Linked DNA regions of Macaca mulatta. The protein of the gene in region 1 interacts with the protein of each later gene in a pairwise test. Links are inferred from orthologs where the notes say so. Each region holds a gene or a part of one and is shown in the gene's direction. Other genes may lie near its edges. The genes, in order: RAB3IP, PLOD3, RUFY1, TRAPPC6A, BANP, PPL and NAA10.

Region 1 (4,019 bases):
TTAATATAAATTTATTTTATATTAAAGAGATTTTATTTTATAAATAAATATATATAATAAATAAATTTTCTATAAATAAATATATATAAAATATGTTTTATATATTTTATAAAATATATATAATATATATTTTACATATAAAGAGAATTTATTTTAATATAAACATTTAATAATTTTAAAATATTTTTAAAAATTAAGTCAATTTTTATTCATTCCTCATACTAATTGATTATTCTCACTTTAACAGAATTGCTTATCACTTTCAGGTTTCTTCTAAATCAGATTGTTTGCCTTTTATAGTAGTTATACTCTGAGATCGCTTAGTAAATGTTAAGTGATTGTGGTGGTTTGTTTTTGTTTTTGTTTTTGTTTTTTGAGTGGACACAAGGTCTTGCCCTGTTACCTAGGCTGGAGTGTAGGGTTGTGATCACGGCTCACTGCAGCCTCCATTTGGGCTCAAGTAATCCTCCCACCTCATCTCCCAGAGCAGCTGGTACTACAGGCATATACCACCATGTAATAGTGGTTTTTTTAAAAGGCTCTTTTATTGTAAGCTTGTAATTTACAACGGACTGTTAAACACATTTTATAATTTATACATTTTAATTTAGTTTTAAATGTTATTTAAAAATAAGTATCTGATTTTTGTTTTAACATAGGTTATCTTATGATGAGGCTTTTGCTATGGCTAATGATCCCCTGGAAGGCTTCCATGAAGTAAACCTTGCTTCACCTACTTCTCCGGACCTTCTTGGTGTGTATGAATCGGGAACTCAAGAGCAGATTACCTCACCAAGTGTCATCTACCGGCCACACCCTTCAGCTTTATCCTCTGTACCTATCCAGGCAAATGCATTAGATGTTTCTGAACTTCCTACACAACCTGTGTATTCATCCCCCAGACGTTTAAATTGTGCGGAAATATCTAGTATCAGGTAGGAAATAAGTAAATCACTTATTTTGGATTATTTTTTTTAAATGGAAAGTTTGCTTAGTTACTGTATTTTAAGTTTTACTATTTTTAGAAAATTTGAATAACTTAAGTGTGCCTATGTAAAGAAATACATGATAATGTTCTAGAACAGGGTTGACAAACTTTTTATGTGAAGGACCAGATAGTATTTTAGGCTTTGCTAGCCATACAGTCTCTGTTGCAGCTATTCAACACTGCTTTTAGAGTTTGAAAGCAGCCATAGGCAGTATGTAAATGAATTAGAGTGGCTGTGTTCCAATAGAACTTCATATATGGATGCAGAATTTTGAATTTCACTTAATTTTCATTTGTCGCAAAATACTCTTAAAGATTTCTTTTCAACTATCTGAAATTGTAAAAACTGTACTTGGCTCATTGATGCCTTATAAAAACAGGTGGAAGGCTTCGTTTAGCCTGCAGGCTATAATTTGTTAACCCCTGCTCTTGAGTAGCACCGTCCTGTAGAACTTTCTCTGTTGATGAAAATGTTCTATTTTTTGTGCTATCTAATATGAATGATAGATATTAACCACATGTAGCTACTGAGCACTTGAAATGTGGCTATGACTGAGGACATACTATTTATTTAAATATGGAAGCTACCAAATTGGGTAGCACAGTTCTAGAGCTGTGTTTTAAGCCAGTTCTATTGGAGCATATGCTGATATTTTCTGAAAATTGTCTTTCTCCTTTACAGCTTTCATGTTACAGACCCAGCACCTTGTTCTACCTCTGGAGTCACAGCTGGATTAACTAAATTAACTACAAGAAAGGACAACTATAATGCAGAGAGAGAGTTTTTACAGGGTGCTACTATAACAGAGGCTTGCGATGGCAGTGATGATATTTTTGGGTTGAGTACTGATAGTCTGTCTCGTTTACGAAGCCCATCTGTTTTGGAAGTTAGAGAAAAGGGCTATGAACGATTAAAAGAAGAACTCGCAAAAGCTCAGAGGGTAAGAAAGAAGATATTTTATTCTTCCATATATTAGAAATTAGTATATCTCCATGGGGTGGGGCAACCTACAGAAATGAATTCATGACAGTTGTACATTTATCCTTCACATATGCCCAGCCTCAGCTCCTGTTAGGCAGCATTTAGGAATCCGTGAAATTGGTTGGGTAGTAAAGAAGTTCATTTAAGACTACTAACTGGAAAAATGTGGTTCTGTTAACTCTTCTGTGCCCCACTGCATTGCCTGCTCCCTGTCTTGTATTATCTGTAATGCAGATTGATTGGGCCATATTCCACATGCAGGGTTTTCCCTCCTTATTACATGGCTGACTAGATGGTTATTTACTTGAAGTCATTCAGTCTAAGTCATTTTGTTTTGAGGAGTTTAAGCTGAGTTTGAATATTTTCTGTATCTTACCTTGGATAATTTTCTTTTCTTGGTAAATTGTTGTGTTTCCCATTTGGTCATCTTTAAAGTTTCTGCTATTTATTTCCAAACTTATGGCCATATCTTATTCTTTTTCTGAGTCTGCAGTTAAATTTCAGAGGGAAATTTATAGAATGAAATGCATACATTAGAAAACAGGAAAAGTCTCAAATGGACAATCTAAGCTCCCGCTTTAAGAACCTATAAAAAGAAGAGCAAAGTAAAACCAGAGCAAGTAGAAGGAAGGAAATAATAAAGAGCAAAAATCAATGAAATTGATAACAGAAAAGATAGAGAAAATGAATGAGACAAAATGTTGGTTCTTCAAGAAGATTAATAAAATTGCAAACCTCTAGCAAGACTCACAAAAAGAAGACAGATTATCAGTAGCAGGAGTGAAATGTAGGATGTCGCTGGAGACTGAGATCAAAAGTATAATGGAATAATATGAAAAACTGCATATATAAACCTGACAAACTAGGTGAAATACCAATTCACATTTAGAAAATTGAGAAGGTAGGGCAAACATTTATAGGTGTAATTTCCAGCCTACTGTGACATTTCACAAACATATATTCCCACCCTTTCCCTAGCATACTTGTCTCTCATGAGCATAGTATATTCATTTTTTTAATCCCCAGTTCCTTCCCAAAGGAAAAGGATGTGGTGAGATGTGGTTGCATTTTGTTTCTGTCATCTGACTCAGACTTTGTTGTCTTAATAGACAGTATGTTAGTAAAATCACACATTATATAGAGGTAAAATTTTGAATGTATATATATCCATCTTTGAGAACATGTGGTTATTGATCAGAATAGATTGCTAATCTCTTAGCTCACTTGAGAATTTCTTTTGAAATCTCTAATTTGCTATGTTTAGAGATACTGTTGAGATAATTGAAATGTTGGTGTGTGAACACATATGTGGTGACTTTTATGAAGAGTGTAAGATAGTATTAATATTTACTTAGATCTCAAGGCTTGAAAAGGACTCTTGAATATAAAAATACTTCCTGAATTGTGACAACTTGTGAATCAAAACTATGTCAACAGCCATTTTCTTTAGTCCTATTATCTTGAGAGGCCATTTTCTATACTTTTCACTTACTTGGTTAACTATTTGTGTCTTCCTATTTAATACCCATTTCCTATAGATAGTGTATAGTTAGGTCTTGTTCTTTTGATCCTGTGTAATTATCTCTGTCTTTTAATTGGTGTTTAGACTATTTACATTTAATGGATAATGATATAGTTTGGTTTAAATTTAGCATCTTACTGTTTGTTTTCCATTTGTCTCATTTGTTCCTTTTTCCTTTTTGAATCCTTTCTTTTGAATTAATTCTATACTTTTAAAACAATTTCATCTTCCTGTGGCTTTTATCTTTGTTGTGTTAATTTAGTGATTGCTTTAGGGTTTATAGTAGACATATTTAACTTATCACTTGTCTACCTTCCGGCGATACATTACTTTATATCTGGTGTACAGACCTCACAAAACTATACTTTTATTTCTCCCCCCCGCAGTTTTTGTGCAATAGTTGTTGTATGTTTTACTTCTTTGTGTGTTTAAACCCCACAAGACACTATTTTTTTTGCATTAAACAGTGTTATCTTTTAAAGAGATTTAAATAATAACAAAGAATCATATTTCTTTACATAGATAAA
Region 2 (4,019 bases), on another chromosome or scaffold:
GGTGCGTGCCTGTAGTTCCAGCTACTACGTAGGCTGAGGTGGGAGGATCACTTGAATTTGGGAGGTTGAGGCTGCAGTGAGCCATGTTTGCACCACTGCACTCCAGCCTAGAAACAGAGGGAGACCCTGTCTCAAGAAAATAAAAAACAAGGGCCGGCCATGGTGGCTCAATGCCTGTAATCCTAGCACTTTGGGAGGCCAAGGCAGGCGGATCACTTGAGGTCAGGAGTTCAAGACCAGCCTGGCCAACATGGTGAAACCCCATCTCTACAAAAAATACAAAAATTAGCTGGGCATGGTGGTGGGCACCTGCAATCCCAGCTATTTGGGAGGCTAAGGTGGGAGAATTGCTTGAATCTGGGAGGCAGAGGTTGCAGTGAGCCAAGATCACACCACGGCACTGCAGCCTGGGTGACAGAGCAAGACTCCGTCTCAAAAGCCAAAAACAAGAAACAAAAAAGTGCCACAGCTTGGGGTAGGGACTGACTGCGTTTTGGGAGATGGGGCGGTTGTGACAAGCAGTGCTTGACAAGGGACATGCAGGAGCCTTATGTTCAGGGACTGCGATACTCTAAGGGAAGAAGGACTTCCCGGGATGAGCTGGGCAGAATTTGGGGGGCCGCCCTCCCAGCTGACCACGGTTGTCGGTGCCTCCAGGGGCGTGTGGAACGTGCCATACATCTCGCAGGCCTATGTGATCCGGGGGGATACGCTGCGGACGGAGCTGCCCCAGAGGGACGTGTTCTCAGGCAGTGACACGGACCCGGACATGGCCTTCTGTAAGAGCTTTCGAGACAAGGTGAGCGCGGGTGCGTGGTGTGGCCTGGGGGCAGCATCCCGGACTGTGGGCATGGCCTGCATCATGGACACCCCCACCCCACTACAGGGCATCTTCCTCCATCTGAGCAATCAGCATGAATTTGGCCGGCTCCTGGCCACTTCCCGATACGACACGGAGCACCTGCACCCCGACCTCTGGCAGATCTTCGACAACCCCGTCGTGAGTAGGACCCCCCGCGCCCAGAGCACACAGGTTCCCCGCCCTGTGCTAAGGAAGACGCCAAACGTGATGGCTGCTGCCAGCGCAGGATGCTGAGCGGGAGGGGGCGGTCCCCTGAGGGCTGGGAGTGAGGGGGCCACAGATCTGCTGTACCCCCCACCCTCCCGCAGGACTGGAAGGAGCAGTACATCCACGAGAACTACAGCCGGGCCCTCGAAGGGGAGGGAATCGTGGAGCAGGTGAGCCCGTGCAGCCCCCACCGCCCTCATGGCCATCACCTCTTGGGGGCCCCCACCTGGATTCAAAGTTTTCACACTGAGTTCCCCAGGGGCCTGAGGGTTTTCTGTTCAGGCAAGATGAAGGCAAAGGCCGAGCAGATAGGACTCTTGATCCCAAACCTGGCATTGATCAGATGGCCTCTCCTCTCCTGTGTATTGGGTATATTGGTGTTACGAATGAAATCACATCGTTTTTTTTTTTTTCTTTTGTTTTGTTTTTTGAGACAGTCTCGCTCTGTTGCCAGGCTGGAGTGCAATGGCATGATCTCGGCTCACTGCAACCTCCGCCTCCCAGGTTCAAGCGACTCTCCAGCCTCAGCCTCCCAAGTAGCTGAGATTACAGGCGCATGCCACTATGCCCAGCTAATTTTTGTATTTTAGTGGAGATGGGGTTTCACCATGTTGGTCAGGCTGGTCTCAAACTCCTGACCTCAGGTGATCCGCCCACCTCAGCCTCCTAAAGTGCTGGGATTACAGGCGTGAGCCACCGCGCCTGGCTGAAATCACATCTTTAAAGAAGAATGGGGCCGGGCACGGTGGCTCATGCCTGTAATCCCAGCACTTTGGGAGGCCGAGGTGGGTAGATGGGTTGAGGCCAAGAGTCCAAGACCAGCCTGGGCAACATAGCGAGAATCTGTCTGTACAAAAAAAAATTTTTTTAATAAAAAATTAGGCCAGGAGTGGTGCTTATGCCTGTAATCCCAGTACTTCAAGAGGCCGAGGCAGGCGGATCACTTGAGGTCAGGAGTTTGAGACCAGCCTGGGGAACATAGCAAAACCCTGTCTCTACTAAAAAAAAACAAAAAAAACCAAAAATTAGCCAGATGTGATGGCGCGCACCTGTAGTCCCAGCTACTCTGGAGGCTGAGGTGGGAGAATCGCTTGAACCTGGGAGGCGGAGGTTGCAGTGAGCCAAGATCATGCCACTGCACTCCATCCTGGGTGACGCAGCGAGACCCTGTCTCAAAAAAAAAAGAAAAGAAAAAATTAGCTTGGCATGGTGACATGTGCCTGTAGTTCCAGCTACTTGGGAGGCTGAGGCAGGAGGATCGCTTGAGCTCAGAAGGTCGAGGCTGCAGTGAGCTATGATTGTGCCACTGCACTCCAGCCTGGGTGACAGAGCAATACCCTATCTCAAAAAAAAAAAAGGGATGCACTGTTATGGAAGTTTGGAAACCCCTGTCCCAGCACAAGGGGCTCCAGGACCCTCTGCCACCTCTGCTGTGCCAGATACCGGCTCTCAGCCTTGCCACTCCCCCAGGCCCTACCTGGCAGGTCCCCAGCTGCTCTCACAGAGCCTTCCCTGCTCCTCCCTGCCCCTTCCCATTCTGCCCACTGCCTGTCCCCTTCCCCGTTCTGTGGCATCAGCTAGCCCTGTTCTCCCCCGCCCCGTCCTCAGCCATGCCCGGACGTGTACTGGTTCCCACTGCTGTCAGAACAAATGTGTGATGAGCTGGTGGCGGAGATGGAGCACTACGGCCAGTGGTCAGGCGGCCGGCATGAGGTAAGGGCCTGGGTGAGGAAGGCAGAGGGCTCCTGGGAGGAGGAGGTGCGGGATCTGGTAAAGGAACAATGGAATCAGGAAAATGGGAGCAAAGAGGGGGAACTCCCTTTTTCTCTACTAAAACCCCAAGGGGGAGACAGACCCTGGGGTCACAACTGCATTCATTCATGTATTTAAGAAATATTTACTGCTGGGCGCAGTGGCTCATGCCTGTAATCTTAGCACTTTGGGAGGCCAAGGCAGGAGGATTGCTGGAGCCAGGGAGTTTGAGGCCAGCCTGGGCAACATAGCAAGACCCTGTCTCTACAATAAATTTAAAAATTAGCTGGGTTTGGGCCAGGCATGGTGGCTCACGCCTGTAACCCCAGCACTTTGGGAGGCCGAGGCAGGTGGATCTCCTGAAGTCGGAAGTTCGAGACCAGCCTCATCAACATGGAGAAACCCCATCTCTACTAAAAACACAAAATTAGCCAGGCATGGTGGCATGTGCCTGTGGTCCCAGCTATTCAGGAGGCTGAGGCAGAAGGATCACTTGAGCCCCAGAGTTAGAGGCTGCAGTGAGCTATGATCATGCCGCAACACTCCAGCCTGGGTGACAGAGCAAGACTCTGTCTCTAAAAAAAGAAAAAAGGAAAGTTTCTGGGTCACTGTCCTAGCTTGCACTGCAGGAATGCCTTTTGCCGGCCGAGCTCTGCCCTGCTGTGAGCAGCAGCCGCCACACAGCTTCTAAGGCTGCGATGAGCAGCCTGGGTACTGTGGAAGCCACGGGGAAGCCTTGACCCAGACTTGGGAGGACTAGGGGGCTTCACAGGACAGGTGACATCTTAGCTGAGACTTGAAGGGCCGGGAGCAGTGAGTCAGGCTGAGAAGTAGCAAAGAAGACTGCTCCACACAGAGGAGCACAGGTGTAAAGGCTGGGGCACAGGAGGAAGGAGGCTGGACTGCCCCTTGGGGGGGGGCACCGTGGCTGGAGGGGCGGGTGGCTCAGTGCCCACCGCCCCCAGGATTCAAGGCTGGCTGGAGGCTACGAGAATGTGCCCACTGTGGACATCCACATGAAGCAGGTGGGGTACGAGGACCAATGGCTGCAGCTGCTGCGGACGTATGTGGGCCCCATGACCGAGAGCCTGTTTCCCGGCTACCACACCAAGGTGCGCTGCCCATCTGCCCGCTGCCTCCCCACCTTCCCCACCCCAGTCCCAGGCTGGAAGTCTCCACAGAGACCCCTTTTGGCCCC
Region 3 (4,019 bases), on another chromosome or scaffold:
CTTACATGCATTTTATCCTACGCATGTAACACATGAAAATGACACGTGTACAGAATAATCTATTGCAGTCGTTATTTCTAACAGGAGATTAGAACCACCCTAGTTTTTTTTAACCCAGCTAAATAAATTATGGTGCTGTCCAACAGCGACACACTAAAGCTGTAGAAAAAAGTGAAGTCCTCTGTGTACTGATATGGAAAGATTTTCTTTTTTTTTTTTCTTTTTTTTTGAGACGGAGTCTTGCTCTGTCGCCCAGGCTGGGGTGCAGTGGCCGGATCTCAGCTCACTGCAAGCTCCGCCTCCCGGGTTTACGCCATTCTCCTACCTCAGCCTCCCAAGTAGCTGGGACTACAGGCGCCCGCCACCTCGCCCGGCTAGTTTTTTTGCATTTTTTAGTAGAGACGGGGTTTCACCGTGTTAGCGAGGATGGTCTCAATCTCCTGACCTTGTGATCCGCCCGTCTCGGCCTCCCAAAGTGCTGGGATTACAGGCTTGAGCCACCGCGCCCGGCAAGATTTTCAAGATGACGGATACTCAGCAAAATAAGTAGGTTGAGAACTGCATGTAAAACGTTAAATTTTTTTGTAAAAAGGGAGAGAATATATTTGGTACTAGTTTTCATGTGTAGAGACATGTTTTGGAAATGAACTTAAAGGACACTATATTAATGTATAGGGAAGGCGGGTGGGGAGGTGGAGGACAAGGAGACAAGTATATGCCTTTTAATACTTTCTAGGTTTCTTTTTTTTTTTTTTTTTTTTTTTTTTTTTGAGACAGAGTCTCACTCTATCTGCCAGGCTGGAGTGCAGTGGTGCAGTCTCGGCCCACTGCAGCCTTTACCTCCCGGGTTCAAGTGATTCTCGTGCCTCAGCTTCCTGAGTAGCTGGGATTACAGGCATGAGCCACCACCCCCAGCTATGTTTTGCATTTTTTGTTGAGATGGACTTTTACCATATTGGCCAGGCTAGTCTCAAACTCTTGACCTCTGGTGATCCACCTCCCTCGGCCTCCCAAAGTGCTGGGATTACAGGCGTGAGCCACCGCGCCTGGCCTACAATATATTTTTTAAATGGCCAAGTCGTATTCTGTTGTATATATAATTTTGTTTAACCCCCCTTGTGGCTGTCTTCAAATTCTTGTTACCACAAACCGTGATAATGATGTGGTGACCGCCCCGAAACATACATCTTTGTGTCCATCTTCAGTTATTTCTCTAGGATGTATTACTAAATGTAAAATTTTGGTAACCTGTTGTCATCAAATTGCCACTAGAAAGTTGTACAGTTGACCAGGCACAGTGACTCACGCCTGTAATCCCAACACTTTGAGAGGCTGAGGCGGGAAGAATGCTTGAGCCCAGGAGTTTGAAACCAGCCTGGACAACATGGCAAAACCCCATCTCTACAAAAAAAAAAAAAAAAAAAAAAAAAACCATTAGTTGGGTGTAGTAGCACGTGTCTCAGCTACTCCAGAGGCTTGACACAGGATTATCACTTGAGCCTGGGAGTTCCAGGCTGCAGGGAGCCATGATCATGCCATTGCTCAGCAACATGGACGACTGAGCAAGACCCTATCTCCAAAAAGAAAAAGGAAGTTGTAAAGTTTACAGTCTCACCAAGCAGCACTTGAGAAGCCTTTATTCTTTTAATGTTTAATGCAGGCCTGTTCTTTCTTTCTTTTCTTTTTTTTTCCTCTTCTTTCTTTTCTGCTTCTCTGGAGATAATGCTAGAATACAGAAAAATTACACCTTCAAGACTGGGGCTGGGCACAGTGCCTCATGCCTGTAATCCCAGCACTTTGGGAGGCCAAGGTGGGCGGATCACTTGAGGTCAGGCGTTCGAGACTAGCCTGGCCAACATGGTAGATGGTAGAAACCCCATCTCTACTAAAAATACAAGAATTAGCTGGGCGTGGTGGCAGGTGCCTGTAATCCTAGCTACTCGGGAGGCTAAGGCAGGAGAATTGCTTGATCCCTTGAGGTAGAGGATGCAATGAGCTGAGATCACAATGGTGAGCCAGGATTGTGCCACTGCACTCCAACCTGGGTGACAGAGTGAGACTCCATCTCGGAAAAAAAAAAAAAAAAATTGGTTCCACAACATTGTGAATGTACTTCACACTACTTAACTGTAAGATTAAAAATGGTTAAGATGGTAAATTTTATGTTCTGTGTATTTTACCACAATAATAAAACATAAAATTGTACCTTTAAGGCCAGGTGCAGTGGCTCATGCCTGTAATCCCAGCACTTTGGGAGGCCAAGGCAGTCTGATCACTTAAGGCCAGGAATTTGAGACCAGCCTGGCTAACATGACAAAGCCCTGTCTCTACTGAAAACACAAAAATTAGCCAGGCGTGGTGACACGTGCCTTAATCCCAGCTGCTCGGGAGGCTGAGCCACGAGAATTGCTTGAACCCAAGAGGTGGAGGTTGCAGTGAGCTGAGATTGCACCACTGCACTCCAGCCTGGGCGACAGAGCAAGACTATCTCAGAAAAAAAAAAAATTGTACCTTTGAGCTAACCCCTTGGAGATTTTACAAGCTTTAGCACTTTAGCAAGCACTAAGTTCTCTATTAGTCTTTTGAAAGAATGTTTATCTATTACACAAATCTAACCTGATATTTTCCTGTGATATTTTATGACTATAAGCAAAGCATTATCTAACTGTATTTGTAATAGTACTCAAAGGTGTGTGGTGAGCCATTTTCGATGCCTGCCCAGGCCACGTGCCTCCCTCCCCAACCCCAAACAGCCATTTGTAGAGTGTCCTCTGCATTTATAAGAGTGTGTTTCCTGTGTATCTCCCTAGGTAATTCAGGTTTCTTTTCTGTGTTTGTTGTTGTGATGTCACAATAGTTTGATGCTCTGTTTGAATTCTAGGACAGCTGTGGGAAGAGGCCGAGCTTGGCTTTATCTTGCACTCATGCAAAAGAAACTGGCAGATTATCTGAAAGTGCTTATAGACAATAAACATCTCTTAAGGTATTTCATCAACTAGGTTTGCTTATCTTTTGCTTGGTAAATAATTAGAACATAGGCCGGGTGTGGTGGCTCATGCCTGTAATCCCAGCACTTTGGGAGGCCAAGGCAGGTGGATTGCTTGAGTTCCGGAGTTTAAGACCACCATGGCCAACATGGTGAAATCCCGTCTCTACTAAAAATACAAAAATTAGCCAGACATGGTGGCAGGTGCCTGTAACCCCAGCTACTCAGAAGGCTGAGGCAGGAGAATCGCTTGAACCCAGGAGGCGGAGGTTGCAGACAGCCAACATTGCGCCACTGCACTCCAGCCTGGACGACAGAGGAAGATTCCATCTAAAAATAAATAATAATAGGCCGAGCGCAGTGGATCACGCCTGTAAACCCAGCACTTTGGGAAGCCGAGGTGGGCAGATCACAAGGTCAGGAGTTCAAGACCAGCCTGGCCAACATGGTGAAACTGTGTCTCTACTAAAAATACAAAAATTAGCTGGGCGTAGTGATGCATGCCTATAATCCCAGCTACTCAGGAGGCTGAGGCAGGAGAATCACGTGAACCTGGGAGGCAGAATTTGCAGTGAGCCAAGATTGCGCCATTGCACTCCAGCCTGGGTGACAGAGTGAGATTCCTCCTCAAAAAAATAATAATTAGAACATAGTTCTGTAGATCATTTTGAATTAAAATAAGTGTATCAGCCAAGCGTGGTGGCTCATGCCTGTAATCCCAGCACTTTGGGAGGCCAAGGCAGGCTGATCACTTGAGGTCAGAAGTTCAGAAACAACCTGGATAACATGGTAAAACCCCATCTCTGCTAAAAATCCGAAATTAGCTGGGCATGGTGGCATATGCCTATAATCCCAGCTACTCGGGAGGCTGAGGCAGGAGGATTGCTTGAACCCAGGAAGCAGAGGTTGCAGTGAGCCAATCACACCACTGTACCTCCAGCCTGGGCAACAGAGCGAGACTCTGTCTCAAAATAAAAAAATAAAATAAGTATACAATATTTATGGAAATTTACGACTGGTTCATTTTTGATAT
Region 4 (4,763 bases), on another chromosome or scaffold:
GGGACCGGATTAGCCCCCATGGGTGGCACTAAGATGGGAGCGGGGGGCGGGGGGTCATAAGAGACACAGGAGACAGAGTCAGGTCCCAGAGGCAGCAAGGCCTAACCCCAAATTGCAGTCGGGTAGGGAAGTAGAATCATGGCTAGGCCCGCGGCCCCGGGTCTTGCTCAGGCTCGGTCCCCGGCACGCCGCGGATGTCCGGCAGCAAGCGGCAGCCAGCCACGATGTCCAGACGCTCAGCCAAAGCACAAAGGTCCCCGCGCGCCAGGCGCACGCTGTGGGCCGCCGCCAGCCCCGCCGCCTGGGCTGCCGCCAGCCTACCAGCCAGGGCGGCCACGTCGCGGCCCGCACGGCGGTAAACACCGCTCACCGCGGCCGCCACGTCGTGGTCCAGCCGCGCCTGGCTCTCCGCCAGCCGAAGCTGCAGGAGCGAGCGCGCAGGGGCGGGCGCCGGGGCCTCTTCCGCGCCCCAGGTCTCCTCCGCCAATTCCCGCTGCACCACGAGCGGAGGCAGGTCCCTCGGCGCGGCCGTTGGCTCCGGCTCCGGCTCCGGGTCCGAGTCGGTCTCTGCGGCCTCCCCAGCCACCCTCAGCCCCGTGGGGCGGCCGCGCGTCGGGCCCGAGGGACCCAGGTACAGCTCCTCTTCCTCCGACGAGGACACAGAGGGCTCGGAATCCGTCTCGGTCGCCTCCCCAGGCACCACCGTCTCCGGCCTCCGCAGGGGCCTCCGCCGACGACCCTGGGACGCCATGGCGCCGAGCTAGGGCAGAAAAGCGAAGGGACTGCACGTGAGACGGGCGCCGCGGTGGGTAAAAGGCGCAGGTCCTGGATTCCCAGCCCCTTCGCTGATTCTCTTAACGACTTGGGGTCAGTTGCTCCCCCTGCCTGGGCCTCAGTTTCCTCTTCTGTAAACTGGGTGATGATGAGGGTTACTGGACCCCAGGCCCTTCAGCGTACAGATGGGGAAACTGAAGACCAGCTCCATTAGGGATCTGGGGCCCGAGTTCCCGGAGTCCCAAGCCGAACTCTTTACGAATTTGCCTCCTAGTAGCGGCCACACCCTCCACTTGGTCCACCATGCCAATCTCAGACCCGGAAGCACTCGGGCCCTTGAGCTGCTCGGGACCAGTGCCAGAGTCGCAGAAAGGATGACAGTCCGATTGGACTCCGCTGGGGGCACTCATGGGATGGGGGAAGCGCTATCGCCAAAGACCGTACCCGGTAGCTAACGCTCCGAGCCTGCGGGATCCTCTTCCTTGCCCGAGTGCCGAGTCCTCACCGTGGCAGCTGAAGGGCTGCGATCTCGACCAATAGGGGAGCGGGTTGGGCGGGCATTAGCGGCCAAGTCACGTGGATTCGCTCGACTACCAATCACGATGCAAGTTCTCAACATCAGCTTTGAGGGAGTGTGCAGAAGATCACATGAATGGAGGAACCGCCAATAGAGAAGCGGCTGGGCCGGCTTTTCCAGGTTGTGCGACGAGGAAAGTCTGGAATGGACAAATAGGGATTTTAAAAGCCGAGTATGTCACGTGTAACCAGTAATTTGGCCAATAGGAATGCTCAAGAACCCGGAAATAGGGAAGGGACGGCAGCAAGGGCAGAAGATGTTGTCACGTGCGGCCAGAGGAGGAGTAGGCCCGCCCCCTAGTATCCCAGGCTCACGCGCACACCACCTGAGCCGGAGGTGGGGAGGCGGGGCTAGTCTAAAACACCAGCGGAAGCGGGAGTAGGAGGGCTCGCGCCGTGACTTGAGAGGCGTGGCTTACCAAGCCTGGCCAATGAGAGCGGGAAGCGCTGGGCGCATCTTTAGGCGCGCGAGGAGGGCTCATGGCGGACACTGTGCTGTTCGAGTTTCTTCACACGGAGATGGTGGCGGAGCTGTGGGCTCACGACCCCGACCCCGGTCCGGGGGTGAGCGCCGGGTCCCGTGGGGAGGAAGTGGGGGCCACCACGGTAACGCCTCGGGGAGAGCGGAGGGGCTGTCAGACGTCCGGGTTCGAACCCCGACCCAGCCCCGGCCTTGCAGGGCAACATCTGGCGCTGGCTTCCTCCTCTGGAAAGTGGGGTTCGCGAAGGTGCCGGCTTGGGGTTATTGCTAAATTGAGCGAGATGACTCAGGGTAAAGCACTTAGCTCACGGCCTGAGTAAGCGGCAAGTAATCATAATAATGCTGTTATTGGCCGGGCGCGGTGACTCAAGCCTGTAATCCCAGCACTTTGGGAGGCCGAGACGGGCGGATCACGAGGTCGGGAGATCGAGACCATCCTGGTTAACACGGTGAAACCCCGTCTCTACTAAAAAATACAAAAAACTAGCCGGGCGAGGTGGCGGGCGCCTGTAGTCCCAGCTACTCGGGAGGCTGAGGCAGGAGAATGGCGTGAACCCGGGAGGCGGAGCTTGGAGTGAGCTGAGATCCGGCCACTGCACTCCAGCCTGGGTGACAGCGCGAGACTCCGTCTCAAAAAAAAAAAAAAAAAAAAAAAAATATATATATATATATATAAAATAATGCTGTTATTGGGCGTGTGCTGAGTACTCGGCATTCACAAGGTGTGCGACCCAATGACTTAATCTTTGTGTGTCCTAATTTTCTCTTTTGTAAAATGAGCATCATAACGTACCTGAGCCTCAGCATGGGACATTTATTCATTCCACACCCACTTATTGAGTGTCTGTTGTATTCCAGGCACTGTTCTAAGACAGAATCCCCGTCCTCGTGAGGCTTACATTTCACTGGGGAGTCAAATAACAAACTGAAATATGCCGGCTGGGTGCTGTGGCTCACGCCTGTAATCCCAGCACTTTGGGAGGCCGAGGCGGTTGGATCACCTGAGGTCAGGAGTTCAAGACCAGCCTGGCCAACATGGTGAAACCCTGTCTCTACAAAAATTAGCCGAGCATGATGGCGGGTACCTGTAATCCCAGCTACTCTGGAGTCTGAGACAGGAGAATGGCTTGAATCTGGGAGGCGGAGGTTGCAGTGAGCCAAGATTGTGCCATTGCACTCCAGCCTGGGCAACAGAGCGAGACTCGTCTCAGGAAAAAAAAAAAAAAGAGAGATGGGGTTTTGCCATGTTGCCCAGGCTGGTCTTGAACCCCTAGACTCAAGTGATTCTTCCGCCTGGGCCTCCCAAAGTGCTGGGATTACAAGCGTGAACTACCACGACTGGCCTGGGAGTGTGTGTGTGTGCATGCATGACAGGGTCCTGATCGGTCGTCCAGGCTGCCTGGAGTGCAGTGATGCAATCATGGCTCACTGCTACCTCGACCTCCTAGGTTCAAGCAATCATCCCACTTCTCAGCCTCCCAGGTAGCTGGGACCACAAGCGCAGCTGGCACCACCACTACTGGCTAATTTTTGTATTTTTAGTAGAAATGGGGTTTTGCCACATTGGCCAGGCTGGTCTCAGAACACCCGACCCCAGGTGATGCATGTGCCTTGGCCTCCCAAAGTGCTGGGATTATAGGCATGAGCTAGGGCACATGGCCTTTTGTCTTTGTTTTTGTTTTTGAGACGGAGTTTCGCTCTTGTTGCCCAGGCTGGAGTGCAATGGCACAATCTTGGCTCACCACAGCCTCCGCCTCCTGGGTTCAAGCGATTCTCCTGCCTCTGCCTCCAGAGTAGCTGGGATTACAGGCATGTGCCACCACGCCCAGCCAATTTTGTGTGTTTAGTAGAGATGGGATTTCTCCATGTTGGTCAAGCTGGTCTTGAACTCCTGACCTCAGGCGATCTGCCTGCCTTGGCCTCCCAGAATGCTGGGATTACAGGCATGAGCCACCGTGCCCGTCCTTGTTTTGTTTTTGAGATGGGGGATCTCACTCTGTCACCCATGCTGGAGTGTAGTGTCGCAGTGTTGGCTCCCTGCATCGTCCGCCTCAAAGGCTCATGCGTAGCTAATTTTTTTTTTTTTTTTTTTTTTTGAGACGGAATCTCGCTCTGTCGCCCAGGCTGGAGTGCAGTGGCCGGATCTCAGCTCACTGCAAGCTCCGCTTCCCGGGTTCACACCATTCTCCTGCCTCAGCCTCCCGAGTAGCTGGGACTGCAGGCACCCACCACCACCCCTGGCTAATTTTTTTTTTTTTTTTTTTAGTAGAGACAGGGTTTCACTGTGTTAGCCAGGATGGTCTCGATCTCCTGACCTCGTGGTCCGCCCGTCTGGGCCTCCCAAAGTGCTAGGATTACAGGCATGAGCCACTGTGCCCGGCCATGTAAGACATTTTTATTGGCTCTGGTTTCCTTCTAGGATAAGAAGCCCCAGGGAGGATGTTGCTTGTTACCATCTCGACATACAGATATAAACCTGTCATAAGTTGAAAACATAAATCAACCTGGCGCGGTGACTCAAGCCTGTAATCCCAGCACTTTGGGAGGCCGAGACGGGCGGATCACGAGGTCAGGAAATCGAGACCATCCTGGCTAACACGGTGAAACCCCGTCTCTACTGAAAAAATACAAAAAACTAGCCAGGCGAGGTGGTGGGCGCCTGTAGTCTCAGCTACTTGGGAGGCTGAGGCAGGAGAATGGTGTAAACCTGCGAGACGGAGCTTGCAGTGAGCGGAGATCCGGCCACTGCACTCCAGCCTGGGCGACAGAGTGAGACCCTGTCTCAAAAAAAAAAACATAACAGAAAAAATCATAAATCAAAAATGCATTTAGCCAGCTGTGGCACTTGCACCTGTAATCCCAGGTACTCAGGAGGCAGAGGTGGGAGGATCACTTGAGGCCCAGTGTTCAAGACTAGCCTGGGCAACATAGC
Region 5 (4,666 bases), on another chromosome or scaffold:
GCCTCTCTCCAGCCCTGTGGCCTCGCTGGGCAATTTTTCTAATCTCTTTGGAGCCAATCTTCATGTTGAAAAAGGACAGGTCCCATCTTCAGATCGACACCTGTCCCAGTGCTGCCATTCTGTCAAGGCTCCTCCTTGGAGTGTTTGTAAGTCATTTTTACTGCGAAGTAACCCAGCCACCGGCCTCAGGGGAACCTCCGAGCCTAATTCTAGAGGAGACTAACTCGGTAAGGTTGCCCAAGGTCGCATAGCCCATGACTGCACCGAATCCTGTTATTATTATTGGCAAAAGGGAGCTGGGCAGGAAATTCAAGGTAAAGCATTTTGTTTTTCCCAGTGAAAATAGTTCTCTTGCCCTGTGCTTGGGAGATCAAAGGCATTCTTGCTCATTGCAAATAATTCAGAAAACAGGAGTATAAAGAGGAAAATGAAAGGCAAGGTAATTCTAGATAAGCAGAGGGAGATAACCAGAAATGACATTTCTGGGAATTGCCCTATAGTTTGGGAATTTTTTCCTATGATTACCCACAAATGCACATTTATTCTACATAAACGATAACGTGCGCACATTCACGCCATCACTTTTTTATTTTTTTAGAGACAGAGTCTCGCTCCGTCGCCAGACTGGAGTGCAGGGGCGCGATCTCGGCTCACGGCAACCTCCGACTCCCGGGCTCAAGCGATTCTCCTGCCTCAGCCTCCCGAGTAGTTGGGATTACAAGGTGCGCGCCACCAGGCCAGGCATAATTTTTGTACTTTTAGTAGAGAGGGGGGTTTCGCCATGTTGGCCACGCTGGTCTCGAACCTCCACCTCAGGTGATCCGCCCACCTCGGCCTCCCAGAGGGCTGGGATTACTGGCGTGAGCCACTGTGCCCGGCCGCCATCACTTATTTATATTATGTGTTAGCTGTAGGACATATCTAAGACCATGGTCACTGCTGTGCGTGCTAACTCCCGCGCGCGTGCACTCAGGCCCCTCCGGACAGACGCTGGGGACCCCTGACCACTTATGTCTGGGAAAACGCCACCAAGCGCTCCGGAACCTCAGGGCAGGATCCGCCGCAGCAGCAGGCAGGACCCGCTGGGGGCGCACAGCCCACCTGAGACATTGTAACTACAAGTCCCAGCAACCCTTGGTGCGGGGACAAGACGGACGACCGGAGTCCGGAGACACTACAAGTCCCGGCAGGCATGGCCCAGACGAAGGGACTACGAGTCCCCGAATGCATGGCTCCCCGCTTGCGCAGGGCACCCTGGGAGGTGTAGTCGTTGAGGGAGCTAATGCCTATTCATTCCGTCTCAAAGAAGATGCAAATTCCTCACACCGTCCACTGAGGTGATTTTTCTCAGGCAGGCCACGTGCGTGGGCGAAAAACGGGGGGAAAAAACCCTGGGAAGCCGGTACCATCGCGGAAGAAGGCCGCCTGCGCATGCTCACCAGGAGGCCGAGCGGGAAAAGCGCGCGCAGCTGGCCTCGCTGCCCGCAAGGGGCCTCGCCCCAGCCCCGCCCCCGGCCCCGCGCGCCCGGTGAGCCTGCGCAGAGGGCGGGGGCAGAGCGTCGCGGGGAGGGGCTCGCGGCGCCTGCGCAGAGCGGCGGCTTCTCTCGCGAGGACGGACGCCATTATCGCATCTCCCCGACAAACACCACGAGAATTCCGCAGCCCACACGGTAATTGCAGCTCCCGCAGCCGGTCGCGCCTCCGCCTCCCCCTTCCCGCGGGGCGAGAGCGAGAGCGAGATCTCCCTCCTCCCTCCTCCTCCCGCCCGCCGGGCCGCCCGCGCCGCAGCCCCGCCGCCTCCAACCGCCCGGGCCGGGCGAGCGCCCCCCAGGCCCCGCTCCCCGTCCCCGGCCGCGCCCCGGAAGAGGGGCTCCCGCTTCCTCGCTTCCGCACCCCCGGCCCCGCCGCGCCCCGGCGTCCGTTGAGCCGCGGCTGCCGCAGCCCGGCCCGGGGGCCTCGCGCTCCCGACCTCTGCCCCGGGCCTAGCCCCGCGGGAAGGACCCGGGGCCACGGCGGGGAGACTGGAAGGGCCTAGAACCGCGCCCAGGCTCCTCTGGGGACCGAGTCTCCCAAGGGGTCGCTCCTGCTAGCCAGCCGGGAGCGACAGGCACCGTTTTTGTGCCTCCTCCGTGGCTGTGGACTGGAGCCCCATAGCCCGGGACTCGCACATGCAAGTCTCTGGCGAGGCAGCGGAAGGGACGATCCCGGGGCGACCGCCGACCCCGGCGAGGACCCCAGCCCGTCCCCCTAGGGGCCCCGATGAACGAGGACTTCGGGGTGCCCCCTCCCCAGCACGTTTGTGCGATTTCTGTGATCTAGTCCTTAAGAAAGGTGGCCGTTTTTTTTTTTTTCCCCCTAGGATGCAGAAAGTAGATGACATTCCATCCACACTGTGTGAGCAAATTGGAGAGAGTACCTTGATAGAGGACTGATGTTTTTCACTGATGAGATGGTAGGGGTTGCCTTGCTATTGGAGAAATACATCATCCCTGAAGAACTGTGAGCAAGTGGAGCGAGTGTGGGCTTTGAAGGGTAGCGAGCTTGCACCCTGACCGGGGAGGGCGCGGGTCACGCAGTTGTTGATGTGGAACAGATAATTGCCCTGTTTGGAGTTGCCTGTTCTGCCCAGGAACGTACTCCAGGGCCTGATGGCGATGGCAGAACTATAGTAAATAATAAGAGGAGGCAGTCGTAGGGGCCACTTTTAGCTGGAAGTTCTTGGGGGACAGAAAAATAACTTGGAGTAGTGAGTGGTTCTGAGTAAGCTCAGGAAACAGCAAAGAAAAACTGGATCTGGTCATTTAACACGCAGCTCGCAAATAAATATCCTGTGCTAGAAGAAAACACCAAAACGCGGTAAAATTCTGTGTGTAGGTCCACTTCCCGTGTCTGGCAATTAAAATAAGAATATATTCTTGCGATGTTGGATTCTGTCATCATTGGCTTTAGTATTTTTATTTTTTGGAGATAGGGTTTCACTCTGTCCCCGGGGCTGGAATGCAGTGTGGTGATCTTGGCTCACTGCAGCCTCGGCCTCCCTGGCTCAAGTGATCCTCCCACCGCAGCCTCCCGAGTAGCTGGGACCACAGGCACCACCACCCCTGGCTAATTTTTGTATTTTTGTATTTTAGAGGGGGTTTCGCTTGTTGCCCAGGCTGGGGCTTTAATCTTTTTAAAAAAGAGCATCCATTTGTGATCCACGCTGCTTGGGGGCAGCTCAACATCTCGGGTGCTTCACCATGACCCGGGAGGCAGAGGCTGCCCCCACTTTATAGATGAGGTGGCCAGGCCCGCAGACACTAAGGGACTTGCTCAGATGTACAGAGCCAGGGTTCAAATTCAGTCTATTTGAAGCCTATATATTTAGTATTTTAATTAATATAATGTGTACAATAGGAACATCAGTGAAAGACTTACAATGAAAAGCAGTGGTCCCCTGCCCCACCTCTCAGCCCCATTCTTCAAAGAGGTTTACATCTTGAGTGGTTTCTTTAGGTCATTCTTTATAGCTCTAAGTAAGCTGATCTTTTTCATTTTTTTCTTGAGATAGGATCCCCAGATGTTGGCCAGGCCGTACTTGAACTCCTGAGCTCAAGTGATCCTCAGCTTCCTTAGTAGCCGTTAATACAAGTGTGAGTGACTGCACCTAGTTCTAAGCTGCTACTTGGTTTTACACAGCCTTGACTTTCTGTTACGATGGGGTGATGGAGCCCTTCTGTCATATCCCACCTCTTCTATCCCCTGGACTGTGTGTGTCAGGCCTATGTAAATACTGTTCTCTTCACAAATTGAGTGTTTCCCTTCCTGTACAGCATGTTTTTTTTCTGTTAGTCATGGCTTTTCTCTTGGCACTTTCTGTTCCCATCGACTCCTTGCATTGTTTTAAATGATCTCAAGGATAGTGTCAGGTCCCCTTCCTCCTTCAGCCCCTAACCTTTTTCTCATCTGGATGGGTTATTCTTTAGCCTGCAGACGAGCCCACCTGATACTTCTTGCGGCTGGGTGCGTTCAGAAATGTTTTCATCTCGGCTTTGTTCATTTCCACAGGACGCTCTGGCAGGTGCTCTTCCTCTGTGGAGACCCTTCTCCCTCCCTGAACGCTCTTGGATCCTCTCTTTGGTGTTAATGACATTTTACCGTGTGCTGAGGTGTGTGGATTCCTACTCCGGGGACTCTTTGACTCTGGTGCCTTGTCCTTCAGCTCTGGGGAGTTGCCTTGTTCTGTCTGAGAAGTTCTTCCTCTCCAGCTCTGCTCTTCTGTCTTAGGAGTTCCTGTTTGTGATGGACGTTCTAGATGGACCCCTGGAGTTGCATCTTTATCCTTCCTTCTGTGTCTTGTTTATTCTCATTTCTGGGAGAGGGCTTTCATATGTCTTCACAATCAAATTTTTAATTTCCAAGCATGTATTTGTCTTGTTCCTTTTTCACAGTAGCTTATTGTTTTACAAATGCCTCATCTCCATGACTCTAGGGAAACTAATAAGGATTCTTTCCAGTTCCTCTTTGTTCTGATTTCTTGTTTCCACTAATGTCACTTAAAAAAGAGTGTTGGCTTTTTGCTCTGTATGGCAAGTCCTCCTCAAATACTGATATTTACTGTTGTCTGAGGCAGGAGGAGGCTGGCGGAGAGCCCCGGGTCTGTGGGGTGCTTTTGAAAGAGTCCAGT
Region 6 (4,736 bases), on another chromosome or scaffold:
AAAGCAAGAAGGGAAAGAGGAAGGAAGGAAGGAAGGAAGGAAGGCAGGCAGGCAGGCAGGCAGGCACAGCTTTAGGAGGAATCACACCCCTGACCATTTATGCCTAGTGTTCCATTATTGGAATGCTACGCCTATGGGAGTTATTTATCTCCTATTGCTCAAGGTCATCGCCAAGGTCTGATTTATCAATTCAAAAAATTGCAACCTCAGGCATAAATGGGTTAAGCCCACCCATAGAAGTCCCATTAACAATAAGGTTGGCTGGGCGCAGTGGCTCATATCTGTAGTCCCAGGACTTCTGGAGGCTGTAGGCGGGCAGATCACTTGAGCTCAGGAGTTCAAGACCAGCCTGGGCAACATGGTGAAACTCCAGCTCTACAAAAATTTTTAAAAATTAGCCAGGTGTGGTGGCATGTGCCTGTAGTCCCAGCTCCTCAGGAGGCTGCGGCAGGAGGATCGCTTGAGCCCAGGAGGTTGAGCTGCAGTGAGCCAAGATGGCAGCACTGCATTTCTGCCTGGGTGACAGAGACCCTGTCTCAAAAATAAATAATAATAATATTTTCCTAGTTTCCTGTAATATTTGGAAACCACAGTCCTTCCGTGGCAGGGACAGAGATGGCCTGGAAGACATTGGATGCCCTTAGACACTCTGGGGCTGTGGGCAGGAAAAGCCCTTGGAAATGAATTCCCCATCAGCCTCCTACTTTTTATTTTGTTTTATTTTATTTTATTTACTTTGAGACAGGGTCTTACTTTGTTGCCCAGGCCAGAGTGCAGTAGCGCGATCTCGGCTCACTGCAATTTTCACCTCCCAGGTTCAAGTGATTCTCTTGCCTCAGCCTCCCAAGCAGCTGGGATTACAGTACCATGCCCCTGTAATTTTTGTATTTTTAGTAGAGACGGGGTTTCACTATGTTGACCAGGCTGGTTTCGAACTCCTGACCTCAAATGATCCACCCACTTCGGCCTCCCAAAGTGCTGGGATTATAGCTGTGAGCCACTGTGCCTGGCCCAGCCTCCTTGTTTTTAAATACAAAACAACTGGGGAAGAGACTGGTCTGAAGACTCAGAAAGCTGAATTTGAACCCAGGACTCCAGACCCCCTGTTGGAGGCCCCTCCCCGCAGACCTGAACACTCCTCATCTGAGCTCTAATAGCCTTTTGGCCATAACATAGTATCTTGATCGCTGCCTTCTGGGGTCTCCCCTGGGCTCCTCCTTCCCAGCTGGGCTCAGCCCCTCACCACCCTCCACAGAGGCGCTGAACCCTCCCTGCTTGTGAGGCCCTATCCGGGCTTCAGGTCAGATTGGGTTTCTGTCTAAGAGCAGCCTTCTCCACTGGCACACAGTCTAAGCCAGGACATGCTGGCAGAATTGTGCAACGTTGTTCTGAGCCGGAATCGAGCAGCTTTTATGACCAGTTATGAAGCACTCTTCTCGTGCCAGGGCCTGGAGTAATTGAAGTTTCAAAGTAGTTTTTGTCCACCCGAGATGGCAGGCAGAGAGCAGATTCGGGCCAGGGCACTGCGCTCAGCGCCTGCGTGCATTACCTGCAGGGACATCCCCACAGGCCTTTCGGACCGGGTGGTGGTGATCACTGTTTGACAAAGAAGTTAACTGTGGCTGGGAGCAGCAAAACGCCTTGCCCAGGAGTGTCAGCCGACCTGAGGGTGGCAGGGTTTGAACTCAGGCCGGCGCCCTCCGCAGTCCAGCCCCCTTCCCTCACTTGCCACCATCTGAGTGCAATTCGCTAGCTACTGGGGCACAGGAACCCGTGCGGGTCGCTGCCGCACCTGTCTTGCGGGGCCCAGCTGGGTGTCCGCCAAAGCACCAGGAGCGCCGAGTTCCGCGGCAGCGCAGAACCAGGTGAAGGCCTCGGCCAGAGGCGCGCCGGGCCCGGGGAGGGTGGGGCTGCGAGCGCTCGCCCCGGCGGCCTTTGCGCCCCAGCGCCGGCCCGGCCTCCGGAGTCCCCCGGCTGGGGGTGGGCGGTGTCCGGCCAAGACCCGGTGTCCCCACCCCCGCGCCCAAGCCCCGCCCGCGCGGTGGCCCCTCCTCGGGAAGGTAAGCACCACCTTCTCGGGGAGCGGCCCGCAGAGCCAGTGGCCGTCGGGCGCCCCGCCCCCCGCGAGTAGGGACCCGGCGCCGCTGCCCCGCAGCACTAGGAGCTCCGCGCGCCGCCGCTCGCTCACCTGCGCTCCCTCCCGCCCCTCGGTGCGCGCCCGGCCCGCCAGCCGCCACCGCCCGCACCCCGAGCGCCACCATGAACTCGCTCTTCAGGAAGAGAAACAAAGGCAAATACAGCCCCACTGTGCAGACCCGGAGGTGAGGAGGCGCCCGCAGCTCCGTTCCGGGACGCTCTTGCGCCTGTGGGCGCACAGGACCGGGAAGACCGCCCGGGCAGTGTAGGAATGGGGGTCACGGGGGCCCAGGAACAGGGGACTGAACCGGGAGTGCGAGACTCACGGGAACGTGGGACCGAGGCCACCCTGAAGCTGGGAAGCACCGCCGGGTGGGAGGGGACTGGCTGGGGCACCCGAGGGGGAGCATAATTGCGGACTTCGGGGACTCCGGGAGCCCAGGGAGCATTGTCTTGAGGGCCTAGGGCATGGGCAGCTGAGCTGGGGGTACAGGGCACCCCCGTGTCCCAGGGTCGCTCTTGAGCAGAGGGTCGCCCAGGACCGGGAATAGACACCTGGATGCGGGGGCGGAGTTTTTGGAGGACCGGGCACTTAAGGCGGGGTCGCCGTGGGCGACCCAGGAAGCTCCGTCCAGGGGGCGCCCTGAGGCAGGGAAATTGAGCCGGCGTCGGAGGGGTGCTCTCCAGTGCCTCTGAGACCTCGCAAGTGTTCCTGGCGTCCGAGAGGCGAGGGGGTGGGGGTCCGAAGGGGGTGGCCCACCCCTCGCTGCACTTCCCGGCATCTGCCACCCTGCGCTCCAGAGCCGCGCTCAGAGGCCCTGGGGGGTGCGGGGTCGGGTCGAGGGGCACACGGGCAGGCACCCCCTTTACCTCCCCACCCTCTGGGTTCTCAGCGGAGGTTGGGTGGCGTCCGGGCCTCCTCTTCGAAGCTCGGTTTCTCAGGGGTGTGGCTCCCTGCCCCCACCCCAGCCCCGAAACTGGCGGTGTCTCTGAGCCGCGGGTTCCCAGGGCGGCCTGGGAGGGGAATGGCATGTCTTGATGTGTTTGCAGTGAGAAGCAGCCCACGTCCGTTTTGATAAGCCTAATGTGTTCACTTAATAACCTGTTTGGGGGAGCCTGGTGGAGATGCTGAGATTGATGGAGGGGGTGGGAATCCAGCCCCTGCTTTATGCCCCCACTTCTGAAAATAGAATGGAGGCTCTGGGTTAGCAAGGACCATTTTGCCAGCTTCTTGGACAAGAGGCTTCAGGCAGGTGAGGGGCCCGCAAATTGCATGGCTCTCCTGGCTGGGAGTTCTGCCCCCAAGCTGCTCTCACTGGGAGCCTGCAATGTGCCCTCCAGCAGCTCCTCACTCCCTCCCTAGGCCCCAGAGGAAGGCAAGGAGAGGCTTCTGGGCCCAGGGCTCCCACCCAACCTCTGCAGTCCGGCCTAGGCCGACCAGTCCGACAGGTGCAGGCGGTGGGGCCCTGGCATGCTGGAGTGCAACACTCCATTCCCTGGCCTTCCAGCCCTTTCAGAAGCCCCCCTGCCCTGTGATCCCACCCACCCATATCTCCATTTGGGCCCTTTCAAGCTCAGAGGCATTTCCCCCCTTCAGAGATTTCCCCACCCCTCCCCTATCTTTCACAACCCCAGAGACTGGGCAGGGCCTGCCTGCCGCTCCTCCGTGGCCGCGTCCAGCTGGCACTCGGACCCAGCCGGGGGCCCGTCCAGTCCCTGCACTGTTCCCTAGGGCATTGCACAATTGGATGCTCTGTGCCAGCCGTGGAGAACCGTTCTGTCCTCTCCACCCCAGAGACTAGGCCCATCCAGTCCTTCACACATGCAGACACCCACACACCAGGAGTGGGGCCAGGCCTCGCCCCGCCCTCTGCCTCCCCCTGCCCTCTGCCTCCCCCCAGCCTCCCTCCTTTCTGCAGCTTTCCATCCCTGAAGGCCTCAGCTTGGACCTAACAAAAGGTTGTAATGAACCCAGACAAGCTGGGAGGGGTGCGGGCTTTCCTGAAAGTGTGAGGATGAAAGGCATCCCATCCTTTATAGCTGCAGGGACTCAGAGGGTCTGGGGTGGCAAAGATTTGGGGTCCCGCCACTCTCTGTATCCCTGACCCAAAGCAGCCACCGTCTGTCCTAGACTGACAGCCATTGGTCCCAGGTCTCCACTTAGATGTGTCTTTCTCCAGGAAGCCCTCCTGATTCTGTCCCTCAGCATGGGGTGAAAGACCATTCCTTTGAGCCTTGCCACCCCAGCACAGAATGAGCACAGCCACAGCTCTGAGCAGGTGTCAGATGCCTCCCCGGGTGGTCTCCAAGCCCAGTGCATCCCTCTGCCCCCTCCCCTTAGTGGGGACTAGTTCTTAGACTAGATTGTGGGGTGGGGGTAGTCCTGTACCCAGTTCTCTCAAATGCATCTCTCGAGCATTGCCTGATGCCCAGCTAACCCCATAGCACGTGTCTTGGTTGGGGGTGGAAGGGACAGACTTGTGGCTCTAGGCTGTGGTCGCTGGTCACAGGAAGTGGATCTCCAAGTTATTCCTTCACCCCGAGTTTTCCAGGGCCCGCTCCATTGTTTGGGGGAGGACAAGGTTGCTGGTGAGATTCAG
Region 7 (3,175 bases), on another chromosome or scaffold:
AACTTCAATGCCAAATACGTCTCCCTGCATGTCAGGAAGAGGTGGAAGCCGGGCTGAGGGAAGGGGGATTGAGGGGGAGAGATATTGCCTTGACGGGGGTCCTGGGGTACCTCGGCTTTTGGTGAAGATCCAGGAAGTGGGATTGGGGTGAAGGAGGGACCAAGAGGAGGGGCAGGCACTGGACGTGCTACCCCTCCCTGGCCATGTCCGTGCAGCTCAGCAGTGCCTTGTTCCCCTGCAGTAACCGGGCCGCCCTGCACCTCTATTCCAACACCCTCAACTTTCAGTAAGTAGATCTCGAGTTTTCTCGTGGGCTGGGGTTGGCCCCAGGTCTGGCCCATCAGGGCACCTGAGACCGGCTGAGTTGCCTTCCAGGCTAGGGGTGGGCCGGATGTGGGGAGGACGCTGTGGACCCCAGTGCTGCCAGGATGCCTCCACATTCACTCGGTGGCTGATGGTTGAAAAGCCGGCATGGAGACAGCACCTGCCTGCTGAAACGTGCTCCGTGTGTGTTGTGATGGAGGAGCTCTGGCCCATGCTGGCAGAGGCTGGTGAAGGGCACACGGGCTGTTTAGTAATGTTTGGGAATAAAGAGGTGTGGGTCCCTGGCGTGAGCAGATCATAGCATGGCCAAGCACCTGGAAGAATCCAAGAGAGAGCAGAATCAAGGAGAATGCACGTTCAGGAAGGAAGGACCGGCGGCCAGGCAACCTAGTGGATGGGGCAGGTCTGCCTGAGGACCGGGAGGCCCCGTGTGCCTAGCACAGGAGAGAGGACCTGGCAGTTAGCATGCCCAGTAGACAGTGGAAAAAAGTGCTTGCAAGTGAAGCTGGGGTGGGCTGCCCGTGGAGGGACACTAACTGCAGTCAGCCCCTGTTTGGCAGGGGTGAAGAGGAGGGACTGTTGGGAAGGGCAGTGGCCTCTGGGCTGGATGCTGGCAAGAGGGATCTGTGACCCAGATGAGGATGTCTGGTGGGAACTGCTTTATAGCTAAGTCAACAATCCTCATGTCTTAGGCCTGGCAGGGCCAGCCTAGGCCATTGAGTCCAGCTCCCCTTCCAGGGACATGGCCACCCGAGTCTGCACACATGCCTCCCCAGTGCAGGCATGGCCCCTGAGCTGCTCAGGCAGGGCCCGTGCTGCCTAGGGATGACTCCCCTAAACAGAGCTCACTGTCTTTCCTGGGTTCTGATGGCTGTTGTGAGGCAGCTCAGTAAGGGACAGGACGCAGGGCAGGGAGGGAAGGGGAAGGCTGAATTCAGGAATTCAGCTCACAAGAAACCACAGAAATGAATCCTTAGTAGCCAGGCTAAGGACACAGAACGGGGGCAGGACAGGGGTGGGGCGGGCCGCTGTTTCCTGGAGCCTTTGCTGGAGAGAACAGAGGGCAGGTCACACTGGACTTGCTGTCTCAGGAAGGAGCCCTTCAGGGAGAAAACACGGCATCTTGCTCCAGTAGCCATGATACTAGGAGTGGAGGAGGGTGTCCCCCAGGTATGGGTCTTCCTCCTTGCTCTCTACCCTCTGCCCCCAGGATCAGTGAAGTGGAGCCCAAATACTATGCAGATGGGGAGGACGCCTATGCCATGAAGCGAGACCTCACTCAGATGGCCGACGAGGTAAGAGCCTGCATGAAGCCAAGCCAGGCAAGCGGGGGTGGCATTGGGGAGCCCCGAGACAGTGGCTGGAGGTGCGACCAACTTTGAATGCCAGCCCTTGTGGCTATGTTGCCAGGAGTCACAACCTCAGTTTCCTAGGTTGGGCTTTAGAGGAGGCCGTCTGCCTAGCAGCCTGGAGGGTGATGGGAGAGGCAGAGGGAGGAGGCTTTTAGAAGGGAAGTGGGGAGGCCTGGGGACCAGTGGGTGGCCTGCCTGCTCAGAGGTAGTTCTGAGTCAGGGTTCTGCCCCAGGCTCCTTGGGTGGCAGGGCTGGTCAAGGGGCAACGCTGTGTCGTGGGGGCCTCCATGGTAGTCAGTGAGCCCAGGTAGCAGTGGACTGGGGCTCCAGCCAGGTGTCCCCACTCAGTCCCACGTGTCCTGCCTAGCCCTGCTGCCTCACTATGCCCCTCTCCTCAGCCAGCGACAGGGCCAGGCTCCCTTTGTCTGGAAACTTAGGCCCCATCTCTTTACCTCCTGCTTCTCCCTGGGTTCCTGGTGGCAGCTGAGGCGGCACCTGGAGCTGAAGGAGAAGGGCAGGCATGTGGTGCTGGGTGCCATCGAGAACAAGGTGGAGAGCAAAGGCAATTCACCTCCGAGCTCAGGAGAGGCCTGTCGCGAGGAGAAGGGCCTGGCTGCCGAGGATAGTGGTGGGGACAGCAAGGACCTCAGCGAGGTCAGCGAGACCACAGAGAGCACAGATGTCAAGGACAGCTCAGAGGCCTCCGACTCGGCCTCCTAGAGCCTGCCCCATCCCTTCCTCACCCCACGAGCTTTCACAATAAATTCGCTCCGTGGCACTGGGGAACTTCGTGTGTGTGCGTGTGCACATTTAGAGGGTGTGTTTCTCCAGGTCCTCTGGTGGGGAGGTGAGCCTCAGCCTTTTGACCCAGAGCATCCTGCCAGTCCGAATAGAAGGGAAGAGCTTTGGAGGTGGGACTCCCCAGTCTCATGGCCTTCAGCAGCTGTGGCCCCGGGAAGGAGGCCCTGGGCTTAGGGAGAGACCCTGCCTTGGAGGTCTGCTTGGCCACGCTGAATGTGTTTTGTGGCATAAGCCTGGGCCGCTTAGGCTCAAAGCTCAACAGCAGGGCTCCCACTCTTGGTAGCCTTCAGTTCTCCTCCCATCTTCACCTTCAGACCTTTTCTCTCCCTAATCACACCTGCTTTGGGCTACAGCAGCTCTGCGGCATAGCCGTGGGCTCCAGATGTGGACATCTGACTGCTCATTGGGCTTATCTACAGCTGTCCTGAGTATAATGACCCAGCCAGACGCCCTGTCAACGGTCCTTGAGTCCTCCCTTCCCTGCCACCCTAATGGTCAGTGAGTCCATGATACCTCTTGAGTCTACTCCCTGAGTTTGCATTTGAAAATAATTTATTTTTAGTACAATTCCCCCCGTTTGCCCTATTGACATTTTGTATTAGTTGGTGTATTTGTTATTGTTGATGAGCTAATACTGATAAGTTATTGTAAACTATAGCCCATGGTTTACATTAGGTTTCCTGTCTGTGTTGTACAGT

Evidence for each region.
Region 2: the proteins of RAB3IP (region 1) and PLOD3 interact in binary tests that used the Homo sapiens proteins (3 or more experiments, as listed by UniProt). The link is inferred for Macaca mulatta from reciprocal best matches to the Homo sapiens genes RAB3IP and PLOD3.
Region 3: the proteins of RAB3IP (region 1) and RUFY1 interact in binary tests that used the Homo sapiens proteins (3 or more experiments, as listed by UniProt). The two-hybrid records come from large-scale screens. The link is inferred for Macaca mulatta from reciprocal best matches to the Homo sapiens genes RAB3IP and RUFY1.
Region 4: the proteins of RAB3IP (region 1) and TRAPPC6A interact in binary tests that used the Homo sapiens proteins (3 or more experiments, as listed by UniProt). The two-hybrid records come from large-scale screens. The link is inferred for Macaca mulatta from reciprocal best matches to the Homo sapiens genes RAB3IP and TRAPPC6A.
Region 5: the proteins of RAB3IP (region 1) and BANP interact in binary tests that used the Homo sapiens proteins (3 or more experiments, as listed by UniProt). The two-hybrid records come from large-scale screens. The link is inferred for Macaca mulatta from reciprocal best matches to the Homo sapiens genes RAB3IP and BANP.
Region 6: the proteins of RAB3IP (region 1) and PPL interact in binary tests that used the Homo sapiens proteins (3 or more experiments, as listed by UniProt). The two-hybrid records come from large-scale screens. The link is inferred for Macaca mulatta from reciprocal best matches to the Homo sapiens genes RAB3IP and PPL.
Region 7: the proteins of RAB3IP (region 1) and NAA10 interact in binary tests that used the Homo sapiens proteins (3 or more experiments, as listed by UniProt). The two-hybrid records come from large-scale screens. The link is inferred for Macaca mulatta from reciprocal best matches to the Homo sapiens genes RAB3IP and NAA10.

The regions. Positions count from the first base shown.
Region 1 is NC_133416.1:76,885,696-76,889,714, forward strand, and holds part of RAB3IP (rab-3A-interacting protein), read left to right. Parts: intron 1-659; coding exon 660-935; intron 936-1,670; coding exon 1,671-1,929; intron 1,930-4,019. UniProt on the Homo sapiens protein: Guanine nucleotide exchange factor (GEF) which may activate RAB8A and RAB8B. Promotes the exchange of GDP to GTP, converting inactive GDP-bound Rab proteins into their active GTP-bound form.
Region 2 is NC_133408.1:48,473,573-48,477,591, reverse strand, and holds part of PLOD3 (multifunctional procollagen lysine hydroxylase and glycosyltransferase LH3), read left to right. Parts: intron 1-657; coding exon 658-799; intron 800-886; coding exon 887-1,000; exon of another isoform or gene 1,001-1,045; intron 1,046-1,142; exon of another isoform or gene 1,143-1,170; coding exon 1,171-1,239; exon of another isoform or gene 1,240-1,270; intron 1,271-2,522; exon of another isoform or gene 2,523-2,677; coding exon 2,678-2,782; exon of another isoform or gene 2,783-2,839; intron 2,840-3,677; exon of another isoform or gene 3,678-3,786; coding exon 3,787-3,933; exon of another isoform or gene 3,934-4,019. UniProt on the Homo sapiens protein: Multifunctional enzyme that catalyzes a series of essential post-translational modifications on Lys residues in procollagen. Plays a redundant role in catalyzing the formation of hydroxylysine residues in -Xaa-Lys-Gly- sequences in collagens.
Region 3 is NC_133411.1:188,517,014-188,521,032, forward strand, and holds part of RUFY1 (RUN and FYVE domain-containing protein 1), read left to right. Parts: intron 1-2,881; coding exon 2,882-2,983; intron 2,984-4,019. UniProt on the Homo sapiens protein: Activating adapter involved in cargo sorting from early/recycling endosomes. Regulates retrieval of proteins from endosomes to the trans-Golgi network through interaction with the dynein-dynactin complex.
Region 4 is NC_133424.1:57,690,698-57,695,460, reverse strand, and holds the start of TRAPPC6A (trafficking protein particle complex subunit 6A), read left to right. Parts: upstream 1-1,811; 5' UTR 1,812-1,830; coding exon 1,831-1,914; coding exon of another isoform or gene 1,915-1,956; intron 1,957-4,763. UniProt on the Homo sapiens protein: May play a role in vesicular transport during the biogenesis of melanosomes.
Region 5 is NC_133425.1:83,340,257-83,344,922, forward strand, and holds the start of BANP (protein BANP), read left to right. Parts: upstream 1-1,588; 5' UTR 1,589-1,670; intron 1,671-2,359; 5' UTR 2,360-2,373; coding exon of another isoform or gene 2,374-2,394; 5' UTR 2,395-2,431; coding exon 2,432-2,452; exon of another isoform or gene 2,453-2,531; intron 2,532-3,550; exon of another isoform or gene 3,551-3,632; intron 3,633-4,666. UniProt on the Homo sapiens protein: Controls V(D)J recombination during T-cell development by repressing T-cell receptor (TCR) beta enhancer function. Binds to scaffold/matrix attachment region beta (S/MARbeta), an ATC-rich DNA sequence located upstream of the TCR beta enhancer.
Region 6 is NC_133425.1:6,203,892-6,208,627, reverse strand, and holds the start of PPL (periplakin), read left to right. Parts: upstream 1-1,875; 5' UTR 1,876-2,259; coding exon 2,260-2,321; intron 2,322-4,736. UniProt on the Homo sapiens protein: Component of the cornified envelope of keratinocytes. May link the cornified envelope to desmosomes and intermediate filaments. May act as a localization signal in PKB/AKT-mediated signaling.
Region 7 is NC_133426.1:160,175,428-160,178,602, reverse strand, and holds the end of NAA10 (N-alpha-acetyltransferase 10), read left to right. Parts: coding exon 1-41; intron 42-241; coding exon 242-286; intron 287-1,534; coding exon 1,535-1,619; intron 1,620-2,159; coding exon 2,160-2,396; 3' UTR 2,397-2,462; downstream 2,463-3,175. UniProt on the Homo sapiens protein: Catalytic subunit of N-terminal acetyltransferase complexes which display alpha (N-terminal) acetyltransferase activity. Acetylates amino termini that are devoid of initiator methionine.